2 linked regions of the Stegostoma tigrinum genome follow. The protein of the gene in region 2 interacts with the protein of the main gene of each other region in a pairwise test. Links are inferred from orthologs where the notes say so. Each region holds a gene or a part of one and is shown on either strand. Other genes may lie near its edges.

Region 1 (9,951 bases), on a different chromosome or scaffold from region 2:
TACTTAATCTGCATGGATATAACTATGACTGTTAGCAGTACCTTCACCTTTTACTCCTGGTGCCCTCACCCTCTATTCCACTTGCACCCCTTGTTCCTTTGTCAATGCCATTAAAAAGCACTTTTCCACCCCCCCACCTTGAATTCTGAAGAGTCATATTAAAGTCAAAACATTAAGTCTGTATCATTCTCTTCACAGATAGATATCACCAGATCTGCTTCGTTTCTCCAACACTTTAGTTTTGTTTTAGATCTCCGACACCTGCAGTAAGTTGCATTTCATTTTTTCAGTCACGATATGTTAAACCACTTTGTCACCCAAATTTTTATCTGAACAATGACAGGTCAAAAATCCTTATTCTGTAGCGTATCAATTAGAATGTTGAAATAAATGAATTACTGCTCAAAGCCACACAGTTTCAAAATTCTTTTGTCATAACTTGGACACAATTACATGGAATAGCATGAGGTTAGCAGCGACAGTACAATCAAGTGGGCTGAAGGAGTAAGTTTGCTATGCTAAGCATCCTTGTCTCATTTGAAAAGCTGATATAAACCACAGCACAACATTGCTAATAACATGAAGGTTCTGCCTGAGAATTTTCAGGTGGGACGTGTTTCAAGAATAACATTTCATGGCTGCCACAAACTAAAGAGAAAGCAAGTTACAGCAAACAAATTAAATCACTGTAAAAGTTGCATTGATAGTATCATCCTCTTTTCATGTGGAACATGAAACAGAAATGAAACGCATGCCCTATCATCTGCAGCTACAAGCTAACATACATGATCAAAGAAAACTATCGTTCATCAACAAAAGTATGTTAATTCTCATCCGTCCCACTTTCATCAGTTTCTGAACATGCGGTGCATAATCTTTACATCATGCAGGTCTCCTAATGATACATATTTACATTGCCATTATCTGCTTGTCTGGCGTCTTCCCATTCCAGTGTAATTTTCCTTCACTGGGAAGGATAGTTCAATGGGATATGCTTTGACTGTCGTAATTCTTAGGGCACTTTGTGATCATTGGTCATTCTGTAACCTGAACAGTTGCTGACATCATAAAATGTTGCATTTTTTAAAAATTAATTCATGGTCTTAGCATCACCAGCTGGACTAGTATTTATTGCCCACCCCTAATAAGCAACCATATCGCTGTGTGGCTGGAGTCACATGTTGGCCAGACCACATAGGGAAAGAAATCTGTCAGCTCTAAAACAAAGGACATGAATGAACCAAGTGGGTTTTCCCTGACAATTAGCAATGGTTTCCACACTACAGTTCTACAGTGTTGCTTTTAAAAGAATAAATACAGTTCCACACATATTTTCTTCCCTGCCAAGAGGCTTTTGTCATAATTACTTAATTGTAAAAACAAATAAAGTTGAAAGAAAGGAGGCTATAATCACCCCCCAGTCAAACCATTGTTCTTAGCTATCATGATTAATCGTAAAGTTTAAAAATTGCAACTTGTACCGGCTTTAGTAATTTTTCACAATACCTTACCTATAAATATTTGAATGGATGACAAGATATAAAACAAGGTGCCATCTGTATTTGAGCACAATCAATCATTCACTTCACAGCAACTAAGTTTTATTTTTGTCTTATTTATGTTACTGCTTATTCATTTTCCCATCTGTTTGCACAGAAGTAAGTATCTCAAGATTCTACACTTTGGATCTCCCAGTGGTTTAAAATGTAACCACACTGAATGGTACACACAATCATGGAGATGAAGAATTTTAATCCCTGGTTATATCCTGGGCACATATGATGTGATAGGAGAGGTCTATAAATGTTCACCTATTCTATGGCTGGAAGAAGTGAAGAGAAATCTACAGGTGCCCATTTCTGATTACAAGCCAAGAATTTGCATTCAAAAATATATACAGTTATCACAATCATAGTATTGATTTTCCATAAAGTTATCCAAATTAGACTAAAAAAATTCTGCATTCTTTTATGATTCCAGAATATCCAAAAATGCTTTACAACCTGTGCAATAATGGCGAAAATTTAGCAAACAGTTTGGACACAGTAGATTCAAACAGCTATGTGAAATGACCCAAATAGTCAGTCTTTACTCTTGTGGTGGAATAAATACTTACCAAGACATGGGGGATAATGTCCCTGCTTTTCACTTAAGCAGTATCATATGATCTTCTTCCATTCACCCAAAAATAAATTAGGCAAGGCTTTGTTTTAACAACTTATTCACCAGACAGGGCAGCACTCCCCCAGTACTGCACCATCAGCTGTATATTTGTGTTAGTCTTTGGAACACATCATTATTCCATGATGTTCTGATACAAAGATTCAAGCATTATATGCTGAGGCACAGCTAACAGAGTTAACTATTTGCTAAGATCAATCTGCAAACTCACAGCCTTCTGCAAAGAAAGGCGATTTGCACAAGGCTGTAAGTACATCAATTAAACTATCGTTCAATATGGCCTCAGGTAACACAGGAAGCAAAGAGAATTTTGAACACATTTTGAAGTCTAAGTTTCCATTACAACATTTAACTAAAAGATCTGAGATTGTTGATGTTTACTGATGTATAAAATGAATTTTAGTTGCGCTTTATTATTAATATGCATTTTGTCATGTGGCGTGGGGCAGAAAAATCTGCAGAAAAATAATTTTCAACTAACAAATAACACTTGGCAAATACATCTTAAGTGAAAATTAAGGCTATTGACCATTCAAATTCACTTTTAAAAGGGCTGGGTTTTGTTAGAATGGTAGATAACGCTTTCTCTGTTTCTGACAGTGCCAGGATGAAGCCCTCTCGAGTTACATATAGCAAAGCTCGGTTTATTCTGCATCAACTTGAGCTACACAAAAAAACCATCCTCAATGCACCAGTGAGACAGAGTGTTCACTCTTAATTTCAGTTAAGGTCCAGTTTTTGCACGTTCTCAATGACGAATTGAATTAAACCTGCCGACATTCATTCACAGCTTTACGGTCGGCCATCGAGCTACAATCTGGACCCCAACCATAGCGGCGAGGGAGGAGAACCAATGTGTAACCCAGTCCAGCATAGCGGACTCCACTGACCAATAAACTACTAACTTTGGCACAGGCTTCTGTTAAGCATGGCACTCAGTTCACTAAACATAGGCACCACTCGAAGGGAAGATGTTAACAGTGTTATAATGGTTAATAAAAGCATTTTCATTTACTTACAAATTGGAGTGAAATCAATCTTAATTAAGAATAGATGGGCACTGATTTCCCACAAGTTCAGCCCTTCGTGAAAGCCCACTGAATCCTTATGTAACAGCAGAGTTGCATTAAGGACAGTGTAACGTATGTAAGTCTTCGATTATCATCTTCATCTGTTATCAACTGTTAGACATAAGGATTCCTGTGGTGTAGTGGTGGTGCCCCTATCTCTGAGCTAAGAGGCTCAGGTTCAAGTTTCAAAGGTGTGTGTGTGTGTGTGTGTGTGTGTGTGATAATATTTGTATACAGGTTGATTTAAGAAATACCTACACTTAGGCAATAATTGATCACTGAAATGAATGGAGAAGAGATACTGCAGGTTTAACTCTTAGATCCGCCTTGCGTGAATTCATAAAACGAGTCATGGGTTTTCCAGTGATTGGGAAAAGGAACAAACTATCGCCTGGACATTCACAGTGTATAACTGCAAATACAGACTTATGCCTGGGATCTGCTAATATTCGCTTCTTACTGATGTGGTCGATCAGTACACTCTGCCGAATGTTAAATAGACAGAAAAAACCCCACTCGACTGTGTCCCTATGGGGCCATTCTGCAATGAGCCAGATTGAAGTGGAATAACATGGTTCAGGAAAACATATCACGGTCATAGATAAGACACGCACCTCTTCGCAAGAAGATGCACAGTGTTCGTAACTGCAACACGAGCCTGCCATCAACATTTTTTTAAATCCAAACCCTTCCAGACCAGGACAGGGAAATCGCGCGGTGCCGGAATCTCCGGACAGATTGGCCAGCTAAGGGAGGGAGGGTGTTAGAGCTGTGTGTCGGGGGGGGGGGGAGTGACCTTTAGGGTCGGTTTGTGGTGGATCTGGTGTGACCAGGTCAACCCTCAGGTCACCCTGCACTCCACCCCGATCGCTGCCCGGTCTTTGCGATGCAACCGGTCGGTAACGCTGTTCTCCCCGGGTCTCTCTCTCTCTCTCTTTGCAGCCACACGCTTCCTACACTGAATCGCACACGTTTGCAAATAGCGTTCCCCGGTTGGATGCAATCTGCAGCAAGTTGGTTCAGGCGAAAATACACCAGGCAGTTGAGGCCAGCTGTGCATCTAAATTTTAAAAAGTCGAACGCGTGATACCTGCAGATCGTAATTTTTAAAAAATTGCCAGGAAGAGCCCGGAGGCAGTGGCCGACGGTTCTGCAGATCGAACAAAACCCCTGGATTTGGTACAGTGTAACTGAGAGCTGACACCTAATTCCCGACAACAGCCAAGGAAATATTCCCCAACCTACCTTTTGCGAGAATGTGGCAGTTTCTCAGGACGATGGACTTTGAAACCAATTTTTTTTGCCGGGCACGAAATCCCCAGGATCTCAAATGAGCAGTGATGTCTCTCCCTCTGTGTCTCCGGTGGAGAGTCTGGGGAGAAAAAGGCACGGGAGGGGGGGGGGGTGTGCTCAGTCAGTCTGCCTGCCTGTTCCTGCAGCTACAGAACCAGCATCCCTCCTTCCACAGGCAGGCGGCATGCAACTGCCCAGACACCAAGCCTGGCATTGCGTACACAATCACAACCCCTAGCACAAGCTGCCACTCTTCCAGATGTGCCTGAGCCCACATCCTCAACCTGCCCATCAAGAGCAGGAGGGCCGCACCCCGCAACATACTAAGCCAATCACAGAGGTCAGCCTCTCCCATTCAGCGCAGCCAAGAGCCATGCCCATCTGCCATTGGCCAGGCTGGCAGCACCTAGTGAGCTACTGGTCCCATTAACAGCCAATGGGGTTCCGGTCAGCCTCAGCCTGAGCCAATAGTGGCTGGAAGAAGAATAGAGAGGCACGAGTAGTGAAATTCCCCTGGACATGCTGAAGAAGGGTCACTGGAGTCGAAATGTTAACTCTGTTTCTCCCTTCACAGATGTAGCCAGCCTTGCTGAGCTTCTCCAGCGACATCTGTGTTTTTGTTTCAGATTTTCTAAGGTGGCACCGTGGCTCAGTGCTTAGCACTGCTACCTCACAGCACTAGGGATCTGGGGTCAGTTCCACTCTCGGGCAACTGTCTATGGAGTTTGTACATTCTCCCCATGTCTGCATGGATTCTCTCCAGATTCTCTGGCCTCCTACCATGGTCCAAAGATGGGTGGATTCGCAGTGCTAAATTGCCCAGATTGTTGAGGGATGTGCAGGGAAGGTGGATTAGCTATGGGAAATGGAAGGTTACAGGTGGGGTGGGTCTGAGTAGGATGCTATTCAGAGGGTTGATATGAACTTAATGGGCCAAATGGCCTGTTTCAGCATCTGCAATCCTGTGCTTTATTATCCCAGACATCCCACTAGGTCTCTGGAAGGAAGGTCATTCATCTGTGACCTTTGAATCAAGTTAACAATATTTTGATTAGTTGCTTAAGGGAAGGTCAAAACAAGATGCAATGAAAACAAGGCATTAGCATGAGATGATTAATCTGTGTTACCTGCAGTGGGGGGAAGATATATCAAAAATGTCACAAGTAATGACATTGTTTTCCATCAATATTAGTCCAGTGGCAGCACACATCGATTCAGAGCAGAAAGCGCTGAAGAAACTCAGCAGATCTGGCTGCATCGTTGACAGGGAAATGGCCCATATTTCATGTCCATTATTAGTCTAATTTGAACATTGACAGGTTTGTGGTAGAATGAGCTCTCCAATGTGTTTACCCCATTTCCCCCATTTCAGCTGCCACCCCTTCCTCTGCCTCCCAGATCCCCAATAGTGTACCTCTTATTCTCACTTTCCACCTCTCTCATTCATTTCTGCTGCTTCCAGCATGATGAGTTCTAAAAGAAAGTCATACTGGTCTCAAAACATTAACTTTCTCTCTCCACATTGCTGCTGGACCTGCAGAGTCTCTCTAGCATTTCTGTGCCTGCATCAGGTTTCCAGCATTCAGAATTTTCTGCTTTGAGTGCTAGAGGCTATCTTTAGCTCAAGCAGGAGCTACCCCAGAGACTAGAGAATAGCAATATCTTGACAGCACAAGGAACTACCTGAGGAGACACTGGGGTAGAGTTTCACCACAAGGGGATTTTGGGCAGCAGGACTGGCAAAATGCGCACAATGCGCGCTTCCACTCAGCATTGCCCTAACCTGGTCCTGTAGCGATCCCCAGACTCGGCATATTACAAAGGCTGGATACCTGGCTGTGCAGTAACATGCCCACCTTCTCTAAACTCAGTCCAGCCAGTAATCTCCTATCTATGCTAACAAAGTGTGAAGCTGGGTGAACACAGCAGGCCAAGCAGCATCTCAGGAGCACAAAAGCTGACGTTACGAGCATTGTCTGATGAAGGGTCTAGGCCCGAAACGTCAGCTTTTGTGCTCCTGAGATGCTGCTTGGCCTGCTGTGTTCATCCAGCTTCACACTTTATTATCTTGGATTCTCCAGCATCTGCAGTTCCCATTATCTCTGATCACAACTCTCCTATCTATGTCTGAATTGGTATTCTGTCCTGAACACCCACCAGCCCTTTGACCTGCACTGGAGTCTGGTCAAATAAATGCAGCACCATTGTCCTCTCATCCCTCCTTGAATTTACACCCTCCTGCACTCTTTAACCTCACCCAGACCCACATAGCCTTTGTGTAATCTGCTTTGATTTTGGCCTTTTGAGCATTGCAAAGTTTATTGGCTTGACCGTTAGCAGTTGCACCTTCTACCACCAAAGCCCTAGGATGTGGAATTTGGTTTTAAATGTAGCTGCATCTCTTCCCTCATTGAAGCAGTCCCTTGAAAGGGAGGCAATAGCCTAGTGATATTATCACTGGGCTATTAATCCCGTGGCCAAGGTAATATTCTAGGGACCCAGGTTCAAATCCTGCTGTGGTAGATGGTGAAATTAGAATTCGATATAGGAAAACTAAGACTCTAAAGATGTCCATTCTAGATTGTCAAGAAAAACCCATCAGGCTCACTAATGCCCTTCAGGGAAGGAAACTGCCATTCTTGTCTAGTCTGGCCTACATGTGACTCCAAACCCACAGCAATGGGATTGATCCTTAACTGCTCTACGAATAATTAGGGATGGACAATTAATGCTGGTCCGGCTAGTTATGCCTACTTTCCATGAATGAATTGAGGAATAAAAGCATTCAGCTGTTTGATCAAGTGTTTGGATGCCTGGAATCAAATCGCCTTATGGTCCACAGATAATAGGAACTGCAGATGCTGGAGAATCTGAGGTAACAAGGTGTAGAGCTGGATGAGCACAGCAGGCCAAGCAGCATCAGAGGAGCAGGAAGGCTGATGTTTCGGGCCTAGACCCTTCATTAGAAAATCTGATGAAGAGTCTAGGCCCGAAACATCAGCTTTTGTGCTCCTGAGATGCCGCTTGGCCTGCTGTGCTCATCCAGCCTCACATTTTATTATCTTACAGTAGCAAATAAATGGTTTGAGCCGGGAGGAGAAAGAAGATCATAAATCTTCAAAAATGGTTGTAACAATGTGCGATAGGCATCCACTAGCCACAAAGTGTTAATGGAATCCTCATCGGGGTGGTACAAAGTTAATCTAGCTCAAGTCTAATGGTTTCTGAGATTGCCAAGAGTGAATCAACCTTAGCTCATGGAGTCACAATCATAGCATGGTGCCTGTGAATAAACTTTACACTTTCTCACATCCCCTGAAGGAAATACACTCGATGTATTGGCATTGCAACTTTCTATTCCCTCAACTTCAACTCCAGCAGTTCAAAGTCATCCTGTATTTTCAGGTATTCGCCTGTTTGAAGGCATGGAAGTAATGAATTCTTGGCATTTTGAACTTCCCTCAAGTGAAATACAAATAAGTGGGCGGCACGGTGGCTCAGTGGTTAGCGCCGCTGCCTCTCAGCGCCAGGGACCAGGTTAGATCCCTCCCTCAGGTGACTGTCTGTGTGGAGTTTTCACATTCTCCCCGTGTCTGTGCACGTTCTCTCCGGGTGCTCCAGTTTCCTCCCACAGTCCAAAGATGTGCACATTAAATAGATTGGCCACGCTAAACTGTCCACAGTGACTAGGTTGCGAGAAAAGCAGAGATGGGGTAGGGGGTGGGTCTGGGTGGAATGCTCTTTGGAGGGTCAGTGTGGACTCGATGGGCCAAATGGCCTGCTTCCGCACTGTATGGATTCTAAGTGAAACACACGTACAAACATAAGATCATGCATTTCAGAGCAGAAATAGGCCATAAAAGCTTCTCAAGCCTGATCCTTCATTTCATAAAATTCCAGGCAAACTGTTTGTGTTTTGAATTCCACATTCCCATCTCCACCACCTCCCACCACTGATAACCTTCAGTTCCCCTGCCTAACAAGAATCTTAACTTTGCCTTGAAAATATTCAATAAATCCACCTCTACCATCTTCTGCAGCACAGATTTTCAAAATCACCATCTCTCTGAGAGAAAAGATTTCTTCTCATCTCTGTACCAGAAAGGTGATTCATAATTTTACATCAGCCTCTCCTGTTTCTGGAGTCAGCCACAAGAGCAAACATCCTTTCCGCACATGTTAAGACAATTCAGTGTTTTATCAAACCACTCCTCACACTTCTCAACCCCAGTTTGTTCAACCTATCCTCATGAGACAACTCACTCATTCTAGGTATCGATCTAATAAATCTCCTCTGAACCCTCTCAAACATATTCACATCCTTCCTTAACAAGAATACCATTCACAGTGCTCCTTCAGACCCATGCCCAATAATTCTCTATCATAGCATGGTTACAGCTGAAGGAAGTCATTTGGCCTATTCTATTTGTGCTGGCCCTTCAATGGAACCAAATGCTTTGAGCTACTCCCCTGCCTTTTTCTCTTAGCTCTGCACATTTTCCTATCCAGATAATGATCTAACTTTAATGCTTTAACTAAATTCTACAAAAACCAAAAGAACTGTAGATGTTGTCAATCAGAAACAAAAATAGAAATTGCTGGAAAAGCTCAGCAGATCTGGCAGCATCTGTGGAGAGAAATCACAGTTGACATTTCGGGTTGAGTGAGCCTTCCTCAGAAGTCAGAACAGTTCTGAGGAAGGGTCACTTGACCTGAAACATCAACTTGAATTTCTCTCCACAGATGTTCCAGACCTGCTGATCCTTAACTCTGTGACTTTGTAGTCTCCATTGAGCTAGAATGGTGAATGTAAACTTTGCACAAACCATTTATGAATGTTCATTGCTGTCTCCTGTATACAGTTTATAAGCCTGTAATTCCTGTCCACTTGCACCTTCATCACTTAAGTGGTTAGTCTTTCCTCTAGTGACATGATCCCAATGTGGATTTGAAGTCAGCTGTTCATGGATATGTATAGTGCGTACATTTCATGTCCTTCATGCACATATAGTCATCCCCATTCATGCTAATTCATGACATATTGATTGGATTTTTTTTTAAAAAATGATCAGATTCTCTACAGTGTGGAAACAGGGCCTTCGGCCCAACAAGTCCACACTGCCCCTTGGAGCACCTCACCCAGACCCATCCCCCTATAATCCACACACATCTGAACACTATGGGCAATTTAGCATGGCCCATCCACCTAGCCTGCACATCTTTGGACCGTGGGAGGAAACTGGAGCACCTGGAGGAAACCCACGAAGACATAAGGAGAATCTGCAAACTCCACACAGACAGTCACCTGAGGGTTGAATTGAACCTGGGTCCCTGGTGCTGTGAGGCTGCAGTGCTGACCACTGAGCCACAATGCCACTCTGATGGGTTCACTGCCTGAAATTGCAAA
Region 2 (10,414 bases):
AATTTCCCTCTGATAAACGATGGCCCATTATCTGTGACCAATATATCTAGGAGCCCATGCATTGCAAAAGATGTGGGCGGTTTTTCTTTCATTGTCCCCTTGTTTGATGAATAAATTCTCTGCATGTCCAGCCACTTTGAGTGGGTGCCCACAATGACTAAGAACATTAAGCCACGAAAGCACCGACATAGTCGACGTGTAACTGAGTCCACGGTTTACCCAGTCATTCCTACGAATGTCGGGAAGCTGCTGGAGGTAATTTTTGTCCCTGTTGACACTCTGAGCACTTCCCCACCTCCACAGCTATGCCTGCATCCAATCTTGGCCACCAGGCATAACTTCTCGACAATATCTTTGTTTTGGAAATCCCTGGATGACACTGGTGGAGTTTAGATAATATGTGGCAGTGAACTTTGCTCCGAACATTAGCTCTTGTTCCCCATAATAATATGCCATTCTCTCCTGTGATCTGGTCTCTCCAAGTCCAAAAGCATTTCAATTCTGGTTGTGCCAGTCCTTTAGTTTCCCGCAATACCACCAGCTCTTTCAGTTTTGCCAGGACTATATCTTTCTGCGTTCAAGGTCTGATATTTCAGCTGTGACTGGAAGAGTGTCAAGAAAATTTAAAACCATTACAGACACTTCCAATTGAAGTACGACTGGCGGTGTATCTTCCAGCAGGAGGCAGATCTACACATCTGCCAATGTTACTTGGCCTCCCTGATGATGTTCCAACTTGTAATGACATGCACTTAGTATTAGAGCCCACCACTGAATTCAACCTGAAGCTAGGGGCAGCATTGCCTTGTCTTCTCTAAGTAGACCTGGTAGGGATATGTGGTCCGTTACTACAAATTTATGTCCGTAAAGGTTTTGGTGTAACTTCCTGACTCCAGGTATGACCACCAAACCTTCCTGCTCTATCTGGCGTATTTATGCCATACATTAACCAAAATCCTAGATGTATACAGTATTGGGCATTCCTTTCAATTGGGCCACCTGTAAGCTAATACTACCTCATGGCATATGGAGAGGCATTGCATGTCAATACCAGACCTCGCTTAGGATCATAGTGTGCCAACACCTTCGAAGATGATAGCTGTTTCTTTACTTCCTTGAAAGCTATGGCTTGTCTATGCAACCATTTCCAAAGCTGACTCTTTTTTAAGCATTGACGCAAAGGTGCCAGGATGGAGCCCAAGTTATGCACAAACTTTCCACGATAATTCACCGGCCCAATGAAAGACCTAAGCTCTAGTACAGACGTGGGAGCCGGGCATGTTTGTGCGCCCTCACTTTATTTTCTAACTCATGTAACCGGGTCTTGATGACTTTATAGCCCATTTGGGGTGCCTTGAATGCACATTTTTCCCTTCTAAAGCATTTGCCCATCTGTGATAAATGTCTTAGGACTATGTCCTAGTTCTCTAGTTGTTCTTTATTGGTTTTCCCTATTATTAGCACATCATCTAGGTAAATGTTGACATGGGTAAACATTGTAAAATGTTCCTCATCATCCACTGAAAACTTGCAGAGGCTGACGATATCCCAGATGGCAGTCTCATATATTATTACAAACCGACATGGGTACTAATTATAGCATACTCTAGGAATCCTCATCTAACCACAATTGCAAGCACGCATGGCTCATGTCCAGCTTTGTGAGGGACGGCCCTCCTGTAAGCTTTGTGTCTAAATCCTGTATGTGAGGGATTGGGCATATATCCAGCTTCAGTTGTAATGCCTGTCTGAAGTCCAGTTGGGCTTGAGTTAGTAGGCTACATCACCACTGAAATAACTCTACAGAAGCTGATACTTCGTCACTAATTCACCCCTTATTTACACACGGAGTGTCTTTGATACTGATCCAGCTCCGTCAGAGTCAGCTCTGAGAATGAATAGGATGTCTGACACTCATATTCTTACGTGTCAGCCAGGGTTCCCCGAATGGACTAGATTAACAGCTCTAATCAGGGAACTCATATTCTATGAGGTCCACCTGGCTGATCTTGTTACAATCACTACAGAAACCTCTTATAAGTTGTACCATTTGAGAAAGATGTGGTTCAGGTCAGCCATTTCGCAACTCAGTCAAACACAGTGTACAAAGGGAAGATTATTCCTCAATGAATTGAGAACATTTGAAAGATAAGGCATTATAGTTGAATTATCCCAGTTTATTTCTCTCTTATGATGAGTGCGTTCTCAAAAAACAAACTGAAATTGATGTTTATCTTTAATTGTCTTTTCAACAAACATCAATGGGTCTTTTTAAAATATATGTCTAAAAAGGCCCTATTTCTTAAACATCAAAAGGCAACAAGCATGCCATAATTTCTTTTAAATTCTGAATAGCTCATCACATGAATTATCAGTTCTGTCTGGCAACCCATTGGAATTTCAGATAATCTGTACTGGCTTTCATGGAAGTATGTCTCTATATGACCACGCTGAAGTCACTGGCTTGTGTTTAAATTGACCTTGTGCTTGTTTATTTCCAACCACGAATTCGCGCACACAATAACTCCTTCTGTAGAGGAATGGTGCTTGCAATTCAAAGTGGGCACACACTGTATATGATACAGTTGGGTTTAAGACTTGTTGCTTATTTTGCAACTGGGTTATTTAAACCGCACTGCTTTTGAACAGCAGCATGCTCCAGGGTAAATTACATTACTCCATAAACTCCTAAATTATGCATGTAATAACCTGTGAACAAATATAGTGACTCTTTAAGACAGAGAAGTTAAAACTAATAGAATGCAGTTGTCTGTGGGATGCAACATCATTGCTGTTTACTAATCAAGTTAATGCAAAAAAGTTGAATGCCTTAATGTCTCACAAGTAAACAATATGACTCTGCATGAACACGGTCTGTTCCTTTCCAATGTACTACCTGACAAGGATTGTTCCATTCAATAACTTTTGTTCTATTTAAATTTACAATTTAAAGTTTATGACATCACAGACTTAATTCAGGGAGATTGCAATCTTGACTTAGTTTGTTACAAAATATCATATAATCCAAGCATATTGCAAGGATAAATGGTATACCTTGCATTCTAGATCCTGAAGGGTACAGTCGCCTCCTAAAATAAGCATTTCATTCCTACAAGCTTTCTTTCTGTGTTGTTTGCAACAACTGACACAGGTTTCGAATTTTGAACCATTCTGCGATGCTTGTTCAGGAGGTGGACATCAACAGAAAATAGTTTAGGGTAAGGCCTTGAAAAATTAATCGAGGTCCATGTTAAAAGGGTGAGAGAGATTAGCAAGGTAAAGAAATGTTGCAGAAGATTTATATGGTGCAGGCATATGGAAACTTTGTGCCATCAATAATGAGTATAGGCATGGAATTAAACAATGTAACAAGAGGCTTTGTGAATTGTAATCACATTCTTCCCCTTCTTTACTCAATGTGATAATACAGATAATGTAACTGCAGTCTTCATTCCAAGAGAGCACAGATGTACTATCTGCACTGTGCAGCAATCAAGGTGGACTTACCTTTCTTTTCCCATAAAATGAAGCTACTCTCCTCTTCCTAGTTTGAACAGAAAGCTGCTCCTTTTCTTTCCCTTTACTTGGTTTTCAGCAACATTCCTTGCAACTTTCATACTGTGTGGCATTCTTTCTTCCATCAGAACACTCCAGTTTGTGTCTTGATAGTTCTGGATCATTGACAGCTTTTTGTGCCATAACAAAGCTTGGCAATAAACAGCTCACTATTTTCCTGTTTGGATTTGCAAGTTGCTTAATTGCCTGGTGGGCCTTCTGTATCTGTTTCCGTTACTGTTTCAATTTCAGCCAAATTTTGAAAGACTGCTTTAAAAAATAATCTGCACATACCTCCATTCACAATGTCACATTGTAACTTGCATGCACTCTGCGATGACACAATCAGGGTATCCACTAACCTTTCATGCGACTGATATTCCTTGACACTATTTTTAATGCATCGGTTAATGTGTTTGTGTCAAAATCCTAGGCACACGATTCACAATGCTGTCATTAGCCTGTTTACTGCAACCAGCGTTGAAAAAGTGCCACCGAATTTGTCACTAGCTTTTAGACACAGCTTCTATATTCCACACAGAGCAGCAGGAATGAAAAACAAAGAATGGAAAAATGAATAAATAAATGCATCAATAGAAGCCATTTGAGAATCCTACTGATACATCTAAAAGCCTTTCATTCCATCCCTATTTCTTTCTTCAGAAGCAATATATTTGATTCCATTTGTACGTTACAAATTGGTAGGTGTAAGAGAGCAAAACGAAACATGGATTAGCAAATACTATTTAAATATAAAAGATGTTTAGGTTAAAATAGAATTGGTTCTAGGACACAGGGTGCAGAATGTTTTTACATAACTGCAAAAGAAGGTAGAAAATGGTTAAGAAATTTCACTAGATGTTCAAACCTTGGAATTCAGCCTGAGAGCAAAAGTCCCAGAGGTCTTTGGGAAGTGTCAACTTCCTGTGCAAGCAGCACTAATGATGGAGAGATTAAAGTAAAAGCTTGATTCCAGAACTCTCAGGAGACAAAGCAGACACTTTGAGAGCTGCAATCAAAAGGAACTCATTCTGAGATCAAAGCTGCCCAGACCTTGATCTTGGTGAGGTTTCTGCCAGGACTCTTAATTCTACCCTGCAGAACTGCATAGAATTCAATTCTCTCACCACTCTAAAGAGAAATCATTGACTGTACTATGATTTTTCTGGTGTTTAGGAATGGCAACATCCAGTGATTGTTTTATATTATTGCACATACAAAGTTAGGAAATTATATTTCAACCAGTGTTTGGGGAAAGTACACCAGTGAAACCCTGAAATAATGCCCACTCCTTGTGAAAATGTCACAGTACTGAATTAGGAAATGGATTAAAACAAGCAACTCAGCTGGTGGTGATGACACCATAAACTGTTAAAAGAATTAATTTTATTTATATAGCACCATTTACAATCTTAGAAATTTCCAGGCTGCATAACAGTCGATGAAGTGTTTTTAAATATAGTGACTGTTATATTATAGGGAAATGCGGCCATTCATTTACATGCAGCAAGCTCTCACAAACATCGAGGTACTAACAAGATCTGTTTCAGTAATGTGGGTAGAGGGATAACAATTGGCCAGAAAGCCAGTAAGAATATCCCCACTGCTCTGTGAAATAGTGCCATGAAATTTTTGTCAAGCAGGTAAGTGGCAAACAGAGCCTCAATTTAACACCACTAGTCAGTATGTCAGACTGTTCAGTGCTCCCTCTGTATACATTTCAGTGTCAGCTTTAATTATTTGTTCATTCCTCTGGTGAGATTTGAACTTACAACCTCCTGAGACTAAATTGTTCCTGACCCAAGGTTGGCACTTCGAGCTAGACCTAAAATTTTGAATTATAGCATGCTTAACTGCCTATTTACTAAACCATATAAAGTATTGATTCTTTTACTTTAAAAAGATGTGAATACTGTTTTGATCAAATTTATGGGTAAATTGCATTGACAATGGAATTTATCATGACCAGATAAAACGGGGTTCATTAGCTCCACACTTTTCAAGTCCCTTGCAACAAATATTTTTTATTCCATTCAACATGCATCACACTTCAATTAAAACATGGGTAATCATCAAAATTAACAACATTTCCTTTAGTGGAAGAAAGAAGGGTTTTATTACTTACTAGCCCGAAGTAAAATAATATATAACGTCACTACACAACATAAATATAAGCATAAAGTTGTAAAAAGAGAAAGGGCCTGGTAGGATAAAAGAACATGCAACTTACAGAGCTGTTTAGCTGATGCCTTGTATCTACAGCAATATTGAAATGTGCAGATGAATTCCTGATGAATGAGTGTTTCTGTGCTTCTGTGCATACTCTGTCACTGGTGTTAGCTTTTGAGATTTGGGCAGAATCATCCTAGCCCCTAATCAATGTGGGCCATGAAAAGAAGGCTAGGAAATTCAGGTGAGATGGCCAACCAAGAGCTTAGCCCCATTGCCAACCAGGTGTTGAAGGGCGAGACAAGATTCTCACTATTGAGCAGCGAGAGACCGATTTGTATGCATTAACATCCTCATTAAGATGTCATCTCACCTTACTGACACGAAACTTCCCCATTCTCCCACCCTCCATACTGCCACTAGACAGCGACAATTCCTGTCATGAAAGTCAGCGTGGTAACCCAGCAACTCTAGCTCACCACATTCTCCTCTAGACCTGCATCAGTCACCAACATCTCAGGCATGCTCCAGGACACACCTCCCCCAATGTTTAACGGGACCTCCAGGCCCTCATTAGCAAAGCAGGGTACCATAAGCCCTCACACCATAGAGTTTGTTCACATAGCAGCAAAGACGACACTTAGAAATTAGCCGACTGTGAAATATTTTAGCAGTGGTCGAGAATCTGAATGGCATTATAAATGCAAGATCTTTCCTCTGTCTATGCTAATGGATCTAAACTTGTTCTGATTACTGCCAAAAGCTGCATTCATGGAGTAGCTGTACAGTGTAATGATGTTGTATATATTCTGTTTGGTAGACCAAAAGTCTCTCAAGTTTTGACAAATATTCAGGTATAGTTTAATTTTGACTTTTTATTTGTCAGTATGTGACTTTGATGACCATTTGACTAGTCTCTAGTCTGTTTCACACCATATTCATGCAAGAACACCTGGTACATTTGTACTTTTTGTAAGTGGCATGTTGGTAAGCTAATAAATACAAACTTGTATACTTTACAGGATTAGCATTTTGAAAATGTAATTTATTTATTTCAGTTACTGAATGGCTTTCTTTGGAATGTGGAGCAACGGTTCCCAAATTAATTTAATTTGGTTTAGTTTATACTATGACTGGTTTAGTTTATATTATGAGTGAGATATCTGTTACTGACCCACCCCAAGAAAATATTGTTAATGGTCAGTTTACACTGTTGTAACAGCTTTTTGAAGATGCATTGAAATTGTGTAATCAGCATAGGACTTGGAGTGCATCCCTTGTTTAAATTCAACCCGATCAATGCTGAAAGCCTCGTTTCTCTAATAACTCTAAGCGTGCTTTATTAAATGATTTGTGAAATTGCAACCAAGTCTCGATGGCCGTCCGTCAATGGAATAAAGCCTTCCATAAATTGATGGATGCCATTCAGGATTGCTGCATGAAATTAAATGAGTGAAGTAGAAGGTGTTCATTTGACATTAAAGTGCATCCTTGCAGCAAAGCCAAAGGTCTGAATCTGTCTGTATCTTTGATGCCCATTTGTCTTTGTCTATTCAATATGAAATGGCTCGTTTGGTGATTGTAAATCTTCACTCGACAATCTTAAACTAAAATAGGAACTGATAGGCTTGCTAATGCTCAGAAAAAAATTTTAAAAAGGGATAACATTTTGGGCAGTGTCGCAAAAAATGAAAGAGAGTATTGTGATACAATCAATCAAAAGGAGAATAGGGGAGTGGGGAAGGAAGAAAGCTTGAATAAAGCACCCAGAGAGATTGTTAATAGGTGAGCTGTGGGAAATGTGCAAGAAATAACAAATATTATTTAGGAGTCTTTTTCAAATACAAGGAAAGATGATCAGAAAAAAATTATGGGTATGAAGAGTTAATCTAATAATAGACACCATTGAGAAAAGGTAAGAGGTGATGGAAAATTAAAGAGTGTGAACGTTTCCAAATGGAACTTAGAATCATTCCTTTCAGTCAGGCTGGCCTCCCATCTATCTGCTTCTTTCCAGTTGATCTTCCTTTTCATCCTCAACCAGTGTTACACTGCCCCCAGTTTAGGGCAGTAATTGTGGTGACAATTTGCTGTTGATCCTGCTGGTGAGATTCATGCATCTCTGGATGAGACGTTGTAAAATATCCTCACAACTGGAGGGAAGAAAAAATTCCAGCAGTACTATTTCATTCTTGGACACTTGCTCAGCTCTTCAGAAATAATGACTGGTGTATGAAAATGTGTAGCCACCTTGAAAGAGCCCAAACGCTAGCCTTGACATCACTGCTGCAAAACCCTGCTGAATCCGGGAAGGTGACAGCCTAGTGGTGTTATCACAGGACTGTTAATCCAGAGACCCAGGCAACGTCCTGGGGACCTGTGCTCAAATCTTGCCATAAGAATCTAAGAAGTAGGAGTGGAGGGAAGCCATCTGGCCCATTGAGCCTGCTCCACCATTCAGTAAGATCATGGCTGATCTTTTTGTGAACTCAACTCTACTTCCCTGTCACCATAGCCTTTAATTTCATAACTGTTCAAAAATCTATCCGATCTTGCCTTAAAAACATTCAACAAGTTAGCCCCAAATGCCATGACACATAATTTGAGTTCACTTTAAAAAAATTGAGAATTAAAAGTCTAATGATGACCATGAGTCCATTATCAATAGTCAGAAAAACCCATCTGGTTCACGAATGTCTCCTAAGGATGTCCCATCCTTCCTTGATCTGACTGACATGTGATTCCAGACTCTGAAGGAGATAGCTGGAGGCGTTAGTGTGACCTTTCAGGAATCGCTGGAGTCAAGGAGGATCCCAGTTTAAGAACGGAGTAAGGCAAAAGACGGTAAGCCAGTTAGCCTGGCCTCAGTCATTGGTAAGATTTTAGAGTCCTTCGTAAAGGATGAGATTTCAGAATACTTGGAAGTGCTTGCCAAAATAGGGCAAAGTCAGCAATGGTTTCATCAAGGGGAGGTCATGCCTGATAAATCTGGTAGAATTCTTTGAGGCGATAATGAACAGGTTGGACCAAGCAAAGCTGATGGATGTTATCTACTTGGGCTTCAAGAACGCCTTTGACAAGATGCTGCACAGAAGGCTGCTGAGTGAGATAAGGGCCCATGGTGTTAGAGGCAAGGTACTAGCATGGATAGAAGATTGGCTATCTGGTAGAAAGCAGAGAGTGGGGATAAAAAGGTCGTTCTCAGATGGCAGCTGGTGACTAGTGATGCTCCACAAGGGTCAGTGTTGAGACCACAACTTTTCACTTTATACATTAATGATCTAGCTGAATGAACTGAGGGCATCTGGCTAAGTTTGTAGATGATAGAAATATAGGTCATATTGAAGAGGTGCGGAGGCTGCAGAAAGATTTGGACAGTTAGGAAAGTGGACAAAAAGAAAGTGGCAGATGGAATATAACATGGGAAAACATGGGAAAATGTGAGGTCTCACAGCTTGGTAGGAAGAATAAAGGCATACACTATTTTCTAAATGGCAACAAATTCAGAAATCTGAAGTGCAAACGGACTCAGGAGTCGTATTCCAAGGTTCCGTTAAGGTTAACTTGCAGGCTGGATCAGTAGTTAGGAAGGTAAATACAAAGTTGGCGTTTATTTCAAGAGGAATAGAATATAAAAACAGGGATTGTACTTTAGAGGCTTTATAAAGCTCTGTTCAGACCATGTTTAGAATATTGTGTGCACTTTTGTGCCCCATATCCTAGGAAGGATTTAATGGCCGTGGATCAGGTCCAGAGGAGGTTCATGAGAACACAGCACGATGTCTCAGTGGTTAGCACTGCTGCCTCACAGCGCCAGGGACCTGGGTTCTATTCCACCCTCAAGCGTCTATCTGTGTGGAGTTTGCACATTCTCCTCGTGTTTGCATGGGTTTTCTCCGGGTGCTCGAAAGATGTGCAGGCTAATTGGCCATACTAAATTGTCCATAGAGTTCAGGAATGTGTAGGTTAGGTGTGTTAGCCATGGTAATGAAGAGTTACAGGGAAAGGATAGCAGGATCGGTCTGGTGGGAAGGTCTTTGGAGAGTTGGTGTAGATGCGTTGGGCTGACGGGCCTGTTTCCACACTGTAGAGATTCTATAATTCCATGATGATGAATGAAGGTCTTAACGTATGACGTAAGTTTGAGAACTCTGGGTTTAAATTCAATGGAGTTTGGAAGGATGATGGCAGGATCTAATTCAAACTTACAGAATACTGAAAGGCCTGGATAGAGTGGACGTTGGGAAGATATTTCCATTAGCAGTACAGACTGGAACCCAAAGGTTCTTAAATTAAAGGGAAGACCTTTAGAATGGAGATGAGGAGAAACCTCTTCAGCCAGAGAATGGCGAATCTATGAAATTCACTGCCACAGAAGGCCATGGAGGCCATGCCATTAAGTATATTTAAGAGATACATATTTAAGAGATAGATAGATTGCCAAGGAGATCAAAGGCTACAGGGAGAAAGTGGGAGAATGGGGTTGAGAAACTTACCAGCCATGATTGCATGGTGGACCAGACTCGTTGGGATGAATGACCTAATTTCTGCTCCTATGTTTTATTGCCCTGCAGCAATATGGTTGACTCTTAACTGCCCTCTGTGCAGTTAGGGATGGGCAATGACTGCTAGCCCAGCCAGTGACACCCTCAGCCTGTAAATGGATAAAAAAAACTGCATGAAAATTGTA

Evidence for each region. The genes of interacting proteins can lie anywhere in the genome.
Region 1: the proteins of UPF0500 protein C1orf216 homolog (region 2) and rab effector MyRIP-like interact in binary tests that used the Homo sapiens proteins (3 or more experiments, as listed by UniProt). The two-hybrid records come from large-scale screens. The link is inferred for Stegostoma tigrinum from reciprocal best matches to the Homo sapiens genes C1orf216 and MYRIP.

What each region holds. Positions count from the first base shown.
Region 1 is NC_081355.1:9,732,424-9,742,374, forward strand, and holds the start of rab effector MyRIP-like, read right to left. Parts: upstream 4,770-9,951; 5' UTR 4,497-4,769; intron 1-4,496. UniProt on the Homo sapiens protein: Rab effector protein involved in melanosome transport. Serves as link between melanosome-bound RAB27A and the motor proteins MYO5A and MYO7A. May link RAB27A-containing vesicles to actin filaments. Functions as a protein kinase A-anchoring protein (AKAP).
Region 2 is NC_081377.1:22,223,434-22,233,847, forward strand, and holds the start of UPF0500 protein C1orf216 homolog, read right to left. Parts: upstream 3,997-10,414; 5' UTR 3,508-3,996; intron 1-3,507.